2 linked regions of the Sus scrofa genome follow. The protein of the gene in region 1 purifies or fractionates together with the protein of each later gene. This does not show direct contact. Links are inferred from orthologs where the notes say so. Each region holds a gene or a part of one and is shown in the gene's direction. Other genes may lie near its edges. The genes, in order: VAMP5 and STX12.

Region 1 (4,429 bases):
GTGCGGGGTGTTGGAGGAACTGAACTGCTTTTCCGTCTCCTGTGGTTCTGCAAGTTCCATTTGTCTTTTGTCTGCCCCTGCCCTCCTGGAGCTTAGCAGGGCCTCTGGGTCTCAGCTGTCCTGAGGGGGCAAGCATCTCACGCGTGTCCCGTGGCCGGGCACAGTCAGTGTCACAGGACAGGGCCTATGGCCTTCCTTCCCCTCGACGGACAATGGGCCTCTCTGTCTTTGGGCCTCCCTCCTCCCTACCAGGTTCCATCGTCATTGTCACTCTTTCCGGTACCCAGTCTGCCTTGGTTTGAGGGAAGGGTTTTCATCATCTCTGTCCTTGTTTCCCCCATAGGTGTTCCACAATTGAACCTGTTTGGGGGAGGGAGTCCAGAAGGGCAGGGGTGGGAGACAGGATTTGAGACTTAGTACTGGCAAGTTGGGTTCTAGAATCATGCTCTGAAAACTAGGAAGGGAGGAAAGCACAGATGAGACCCCCACCCCAGTCTTTTTTTTTTTTTTTTTTCTTTTTTTTTAAGGCTGCATCTGCAGCATATGGGAGTTTCCAGGCTAGGGGCTGAATTGGAGCTGGAGCTGGACCTGCTGGCCTACGTCACAGCCACAGCCACGCAGGATCCAAGCCATGTCTGAGACCTACACCACAGTCCACGGCAACGCCAGATACTTAACCCACTGAGGGAGGCCAGGGATTGAACCTGCATTATCATGGATACTAGTCGGGTTCTTAACCTGCTGAACCACAACGGGAACTCCTTGCTGTGATCTTTGTCACAACCATGTCCATCCCCTGTCCTCAGTCCACTCCTGGACTGGAGCTCCGAGCAGCCTCAGCCATTGCAACCCAGACTCACCGTCCTGGGTGGGGGTGGGGTCTTTGTTCACTGGGATTCATCCAGGGAGAGGGAACTTTAAGCCTCCTTCCTTAAAAGGGGCCACCTCTGAGATGTTGGGGGTGGCAAGGGGTGCGGTGGAGAAGAGGTGGCAGGTGGCTTCCCTGAAGCACTGAAAGGAGAGGCTGAGGATGGACGGATCCAGCTCAAGAAGGCTCTGGAAGGACTGGACACACCAACCTCCCTCATCCTCCCATTGAGGAACAGGGGCATATTAGGGCAGGGTTGCACTTAGCACGTGGTGAAAGGGAAGTAAAGAAAAAGCTAGAACTAGGGTTGGGGAAGGGGCTCTCTGTTTTCTCTTTTGATTGAGGTGAAATTCACAAAACATACAATCGACTGTTTTATAATGTACAATCCAGTGGCAGGTAGTGTATTAATACCATTTATTGTGAATAAAATTTATTTGGTTTCAAAACTTTGAGGAGGTCGTTTTTAGGGTGATGGGTAATTTGCATTCATCAAGGTGGGCAGCGCCTAGCACAGGGCAGGGCAGTGGCACTCCTACAGGTTCCTGTTGAATGAATAAATGATGATGCCTCCCCAGGTCAACCCGATCTACCAGATCTGGGATGCAGCTCTAGAGAGGACTCCTTGAGCCCACTCCAGAGCCCACTCCAGCGGGCCCCCGAGGTGTAGACCTGGCACCAGGCTGTCCATGCAGAGCCCCCACTTCACGAGGCTGGGGAGTCGTTCGCGGCCGGGCGCCGGCGGCGGCGCAGGGAGAGGCACCGGCCCCGGAGCCCAGAATCCTTCGCCGGTCGCTTTCGATTTGTCTTGGTCACGGTCGCGGCGCAGGGATCGCGCGCCCCCCGCCCCCCGCCGAGCCGGCCCCGCCCTCCGTTTCCTCCCTGGTCCCTGGCACCGCGGCCGCTTGAGGGCAGAGGAGCCGGAGCTGACGAGGTGGCGGCAGCAGCGACGATGGTGAGAGCCCGGGGCTGGGCGGCGGGCAGAGGGCGAGCGACGTGGGAGTGCGAGGCGATAGAACGAAGTCCAAGGGCCCGGGCGTCTTCCCGGAACCCGCGCTGGTCCCCCAGCGAGGTAGTGCCGGCCAGAGCAGGACCAAAACAGACCCTCCGCTCACCTCGCGCATCCCGGGAGGGAAAGTGGGGCGTGCGCGGGTCCCCGCAGCTCCGCGCCAAGAGAACGGGACTCTGGCTTCCCACTTGAGGGGGCCAAGTGGTTACAAGCACCGGCTTCGGTGTCAGACTCCGGGCAGAGATCCTGTTGGTGGCCACTTACCCACTCTGTGACCCCGGGCAAGTCACTTAGCCTCCCTGAGCCTCCTCTTCCGCATGGTGAAGTGGGGTCAGCAATACCGACAGCCTTGCTGGGTCCTCGGAAGGTTAGAGGAGAGACGGTGGCAGAGAGCTGCCTGGTACTCAGAACCTGCTCCTGAGAAGTGGTGGGTAATATGATGACCTCTTCAGCCCTTCCTGAAGCTGTGAGGAGCCAAGTCTGGCCCAGGGCTTGGAAACCTGAGCAGATGGGGTGGTAGAGGCCATGCCAGCCCCTGTGCCAGGGTGTTGGAAGGCAAACTCCTCCCCCTGGGGAAAGAGAAAGGAAGATGTTTACTGTAAGCGTTCCACTGAAGTTATCAGGGGGTGGCATAGCCTGACTTGCTTCTAGCCCCTATCTAGGGACACATTCTTAAGTTGAGTCATCCCCCACTCCTGCTGTAGACTTGGGCCTCTGTTCCCACTTGCCTTCTCCAAGGCTAAGGTGTCAAGAATAGGTGGTACTGGAGGCTTCTCTCTGCTAGAACTCCCTGGAAGTTGGGCCCCGGCAGGCGCCAGCAGGCTGGGTACTGGGATTCTGCCCGTGGAAAGCCAGCAGAGGTGTGATGGATGTGGCCTGGCTGGGGGTCTGGATGCCTGGATGGCCTCATCTCCAGGGACCTGGAGGCAGGAAGAGGAAGCGGGGCAGGAAGGTAGCGTGGAGCTCTGCAGCCACGCCAGGAAACTGAGGGAGGCTGGAGAATAGGACAGACCCCAGAGCCCACTTCCCAGCGGGTGGAGCAAAGGATCAGGCAGGGTTAGGGTAGGCTTGCAGCTAACCCTTAAGCACTTGGAGAGAAGAGGAAACTCTGCAAGGCTGAGACTAAGATCATTTATTGGAAGGTACTGGAAAACTCTGGGACTCTCACAGGTTCATCTGAGGAAATGATGCATCTGAGCCCAGGGAGGGTACACTGATGCCTGTCTCCCATCCATCTCCTCGCTCCTTCCCTCTGTTTTTTTTTTCTTTTTTTTCTTCTTCTTCCAGTTTTTTGGTTTTTTTTTTGTTGTTGTTGTTGTTTTGTTTGTTTGTTTGTTTTTGGTCTTTTTGCTATTTCTTGGGCCACTCCCGTGGCATATGGAGGTTCCCAGGCTAGGGGTCGAATCGGAGCTGTATCCACTGGCCTATGCCAGAGCCACAGCAACGCGGGATCCGAGCCGTGTCTGCAACCTACACCACAGCTCACAGCAACGCCGGATTGTCAACCCACTGAGCAAGGGCAGGGACCGAACCCCCAACCTCGTGGTTTCTAGTAGGATTCATTAACCACTGCGCCATGACGGGAACTCCTTCTTCTTCCAGTTTTTAAAGTTTTATTGGAGTATAGTTGGTTTAAAAGGTTGTGATAATTTCTGCTGTACAGAAAAGTGATTCAGTCATACCTGTACACACATCCATTCTCATTAAGATTCTTTTCCCACATAGATTATCACAGAATACTGGGTAGAGTTCTCTGTGCTATATAGCAGGTCCCTGTTGACCAATCATTCCATATATCTCAATGCGCATGTGCCAACTCCAACCTCCTCCTGCCCCTCCCACCCCGTTCATCACTCCCCCACCCCTATTTTTTCTTTCACTCCTGCCCCTTCGTCAACCCCCGGCACTTTCCCTTCCTTCTTCACATCTGCCTTGCCTACTTTTCCTTCTTTTCCTTCCTTTCCCTTCTTTCCTCCTCTTCTCTGATTCACTCACATAACAAGTGTTTCTTGGGCATTTTCTTTGTGCCAGGCATGGTGACTGGCATAGGAAACAGAGTAGGAAGAAAATATTGATGGGAAAGACAGAAATTTAATGAGTAATGACTTGACATCATTCATCTCATAGATGGTCCTCTCTCAGGCCCTGTGCAAAGAATTTGAGTTTTGAGCCAAACTCACATGCACACAAGTTGAGCTGGCAGCATCAGAAGGTCTGGTGAGTCTTTAGCCAGCCAGCTAAAGCATTTGGCCTTTCTTTACCTGCATCCAGTTCAGCATAGGGGTTAAGAATGTGATTCTTGGAGTCGAAGTTGATTCAACTCTGAGATCTCCTTGTCACTGGCTCTGTGACCTTGGTTCGGTGACTTAACCCTTCTGACTTCAGTTTCTTATACGACAGGGATAACAGCACTTTCCCATTGAAGCACATTATTGTGAGGCTTAAATGAAATAAACAGCAGGAAGCACAGAACTTAGCTCAGAGTATGTGCCCACTGAATGGTGGCTGTTACCACTGTCAAGATGTAAAACCTTCTCAACAGTCTGCTGTGA
Region 2 (4,375 bases), on another chromosome or scaffold:
TTTTAAATCTTTTTTTTTTTTTTGGTCATTTCTAAGGCCACACCAGTGGCATTTGGAGGTTTCCAGCCTAGGGGTCTAATTGGAGCTGTAGCTGCCGGCCATAGCCACAGCAACGCAGGATCTGAGCAGACCCTGTGACCTACGCCACAGCTCACGGCAGCACCAGATCCTTAACCCACTGAGTGGGGCCAGGGATCGAACCTGCAACCTCATGGTTCCTAGTCGGATTCGTTAACCACTGAGCCACACGGAAACTCCAAACTTCACTTTAAATAGAGTCAAATGTTAATGAAAACATTCTCAAGAAGATTTTATAGGTAAAAAAGTAAAATTTACATGATTTGCTATATGACATAAAACTATGGATTCTAAGAAATGGTAGGGTTTTAATAACCAGAATGAGAGCCCCTAAATGTCAAATGTCATCTGTCCTTTTCTAAAAAGAAAAAAACAAAACAAAACAAAACAAAAAACCTCTGTTACAAATGCTCTAACAGAAAATAGAGATAGCCTTGCTTACAAAAGTTCTAAGGCTGAATGCAGGCTCATTCACCCATTTGGGGTGTCCCCCCCAACTCAGGCAAGCAGCTTCCTGCCTTGGCTATTTCCCAGAGATAGTAAAGCAGACTTGGTGTGAGGTGCGGTGGAGAACACAGGAAACAAACACTGCCAGTTCGCCTTCACGTCTATCTTGATCTCCTCCCAAAGCAAAATCCTACCCCTGTATTTCCATTTATCATACGCTTACAAAATGCAGTCTTTTATGGGAACATTGAGGTCATTCACTCAAAATGCAAAAAAGGCAAAAAAAAAAAAAAAAAAAAAGAGAGAGAGAACAACTGAATTGCAGTGAGGGGTCACACATAATATGTGCTCAATAAATCTTACCATTATTATTATCGTTTTATTGTTTAGACTACGAGACTACAAGAGGGGTGGTAGAATGAGAGCGATTTGTAAACCATAAAAGTTCTCCACAAATCCTACCAAAGCCTTTGAGGCTGGAAGCAGAGTGAGGGATTTCAGGAGTTTGGTTACGCATCTGAGCTTCAAGGTTATCAAATTCTCCCATATTTGGGCCTGAAGTCTCAGAATAGAACAGAATAGGACGTTAGGGCTGAGATCATCTGGTACAATTTTATGCTAATCGAAAAATTCTTGCCTTCTTGTCACCGTGCCCTGGCGATAAACAACACCGCCACCCCAGATCCTCCAATCCGAGCCCCAAAGGTATGATGTCATCGCTCCGCCCTGCATCCCCAAGCCCCAGAGCGTCAGGTCTCCAAGCTACCCATCTCGGCACCAGTTCCAACAGCGCCTGCGCATTGTGGGGCCGGTCGGGTCGGGGACGGACGCGTGCGCGCCGCGAGGGGGCGGGGCTAGTGCGCACGCAGCTTCATCCCCTTCCCAGCCCTTTCTCTTCCCGGTTTCCCTGTCAGCCTGCGGGTCGGGTCTGGCGGCTGCTTCCGGTAGGAGCGCGGTGCAGGGCAAGTCGGTCTCGGCTCCTCGTCATGTCCTACGGTCCCCTAGACATGTACCGGAACCCGGGGGCCTCGGGGCCCCCGCTCCGGGACTTCAACAGCATCATCCAGACGTGCAGTGGCAACATCCAGCGGATCAGCCAAGCCAGTGAGCCGGGGTACCGGGCTGGGGGGCGGGGACCATCCTGGGGACAGGCCTGGGTGAGACTACCGGGACGCGGAGCCCGGCCAAGGCCACAGCCGAGGCCGTCTCGGGCCCTCCGCTCTGGGTGCGGCGGGCTGCCATCCTCGAGTCTGCCAGGCCCAGGCTCCCTGAGAGTCCCTAGCCCCAGCTGAAGCTCGAGTTTCTTCTCAAGAGTTTTGCCCTAAAGGTGTTGGGGCCAGGACTACAGTCCTGACAACTCCGGGGTGGGAGGGTGTATATGTGTCCTCTCCAGAGTACTAAGTGAGTCGACGTGGTGCAGTGGTCAGCCGAGTTTTTCCTGTCATCTGCCTCCCTCCACCCACCTCTCTTTCCTCTTTGGTCTGGGTCTGGAGTTGTTTACTGGTTTAGACTTTACTTTCTGCTCAGCTTCTGGCTTCTTGGACGTCAGCAGCTTTCAATTAAGGGAAGTGGAGAGTGCATATGTTTTGGTGATTTTAACCCAGTTCTTTCTGTAATGGATTTTGAAATCAGACACAATGACTTTAAGGGGTGAGATTCTGCTTTAATAAAGAGATTTCACCGAAAACATTTCAACTTACGTTGTCTTTGTAGCAAAAGATATGCATATATTTTTGGATTTCAAGCCAATGAGGGTTTTGTTTTCCTTCCCCATTTAGTTACTCTTTTGAACTAACATGAGACAGGCAAAGGGACTTAGTCTCCATCAGCTAGCAAGTAAGACATGGCAGAGTTGGTGGTGGATTTCAGAATGTCATTGCTTGTCTTAAAACTACACACCATCCAACATTAGGGTCTGAATGAGACTGCAGTTGAATGAGTCAAATACAAGCTATTTCTTGTGCCTGAAAATCAGCTCAGAACCTTGTAAACAAGAGGTCAGCAGCGACTATTTGGAAAGAATGGTATCATCATCATCCTTGTTTTTTATTGTGTTTTTGTGAGCTTGGTTGTCCTCTGTTAATAAGTAGAACTAGCTGGCCCTGAATTACAGTTATGTTCTATCTATCACTTTGCTTTAAATTTAAATGTATAATGTAGAATTTTGAGCTAGGGAAAGTTTCTGATGGAAAGCGTTTGAGCCTGGATGCTTGGAAAGTGGAAAGAAGAATATGTGGTCTATTAACTGCAGAAATTTCAAACAAAAATTAATATGACCACTGGTTAGAAAGTATAGTACTTTGTGTTCCAATTTCCTTTTGTGAGGGAGCCGTAGCCCAGATTAGATCAGAAAATTCTCGTTCAGGGCTGAAAGTTTCTTGTTGAGGCCAAATCTCATTTTAATGTCTATCTGTGAAATGTTCATTCTACTTCTGTTTGAGTATCAGGCATGTAGTATGTATAGGAACTGGCATGGGTTCTTTTAACAGGGAATCCGTGGCATACATAACAACCAAAATAAAAAGTTGAAAGAGATCAGTACTATAGAAGAAGTGTAATAAAATTATAGATATTCAGGAGAGAGACACCTTTTTCATTTGGGAGGGGCCGGGGGAGGTGTTTGGGCATTTGAGCTAGGTTTGGAAAGATGGTGGGAAGGATTTGAACTTTTGGCAGTTAAAGAAGAGAATAAAATGAACAAGGTGCAGTAGTGGGAAAGCGTGTGGTGTGTATAGAAAAGTAGAGTGATTTAATTTGGCTAGAATGGTGAATTCCAGAAAGTAGTGGAAAATAGGATTGGAAAGGTAAGTCGAGGCCCAAACATGGAGGACTGTAAGTGCTAAACTAAGGGGGCTTGGATTTAATTCTTTAGAAACATGTACATTGAGTTGGAAGGGAGCGACTGGAATCATGGACACCAGGTAGGAACTGAAAATGCAAAGAAGGAAGGAAAGGATAGGAGAGGTATCTTTGGTGATAGAATTGATAAAGTTTATCTGTTGATTAAGCAGGCATGAGGGGAGTTCCCATTGTGGCTCTGTGGTTAACGAACTAGTATCCATGATGATGTGCGTTTGATCCCTGGCCTTGCTCAGTGGGTTAATGATCTGGTGTTGCCATGAACTCTGGTGTAGGTCACAGACGTAGCTTGGATCTGGTAGTGTTATGGCTGTTGTGTAGGCCTGCAGCTGTAGCTCCAGTTCAGCCCTTAGCCCAGGATCTTCCATATGCTGCAGGTGCGGGCCTCAAGAAAAGTGGGCATCAGGCTCAAGTGGATAATTGAATTCAACTATTAATAACATTAATAACTGACATTTGAGTACATACTGTATGCCAGGTAATATAAGCTTTATAGGAGTTTCTGCTGTGGCTCAGCAGGTTAAGGACCTGATATCATCACTGTGAGGATTCAGGTTCAATCCCTGGCCTGGCTCAGTGGGCTAACGATCTGGTGTTGTTGCAAACTGTGGTCTAGGTCCTACGTGCAGCTCAGATCCAGTGTTGCCGTGGTTGTGGTATAGGTTGCAGCTGCAGCCTTAGTTCAACCCCTGGCCCAGGAACTTCCATATGCTGCAGGTGTGGCCATAAAAAGAAAAAAAAAAAAGTGCTTTACATGCATTATTTTACCTAATTTTGTAACAACCCCGTGAAACAATTACCAATATTACTTCTTTTTAAGGGGTTAGGAAACAAGCTGAGAAAAGTTAAATAATTACCCAGCTGGCAAATGGCAAAACATAAATTTGAAACCAGATCTGTGTCTTATGACCAGCATTTAGCCTTTTTATAGTTTTTAATTAATATTACAGTTTTGTAGCAGTTAACGCTTCAACAGGTTACAGGTGACTTT

What was found.
Region 2: the proteins of VAMP5 (region 1) and STX12 purify together in Homo sapiens (affinity purification with mass spectrometry; 3 studies listed by BioGRID and IntAct, with this or other methods). This does not show direct contact. The link is inferred for Sus scrofa from reciprocal best matches to the Homo sapiens genes VAMP5 and STX12.

The regions. Positions count from the first base shown.
Region 1 is NC_010445.4:59,182,618-59,187,046, reverse strand, and holds the start of VAMP5 (vesicle-associated membrane protein 5), read left to right. Parts: upstream 1-1,343; 5' UTR 1,344-1,820; coding exon 1,821-1,823; intron 1,824-4,429. UniProt on the Homo sapiens protein: May participate in trafficking events that are associated with myogenesis, such as myoblast fusion and/or GLUT4 trafficking.
Region 2 is NC_010448.4:84,917,446-84,921,820, forward strand, and holds the start of STX12 (syntaxin-12), read left to right. Parts: upstream 1-1,381; 5' UTR 1,382-1,511; coding exon 1,512-1,629; intron 1,630-4,375. UniProt on the Homo sapiens protein: SNARE promoting fusion of transport vesicles with target membranes. Together with SNARE STX6, promotes movement of vesicles from endosomes to the cell membrane, and may therefore function in the endocytic recycling pathway.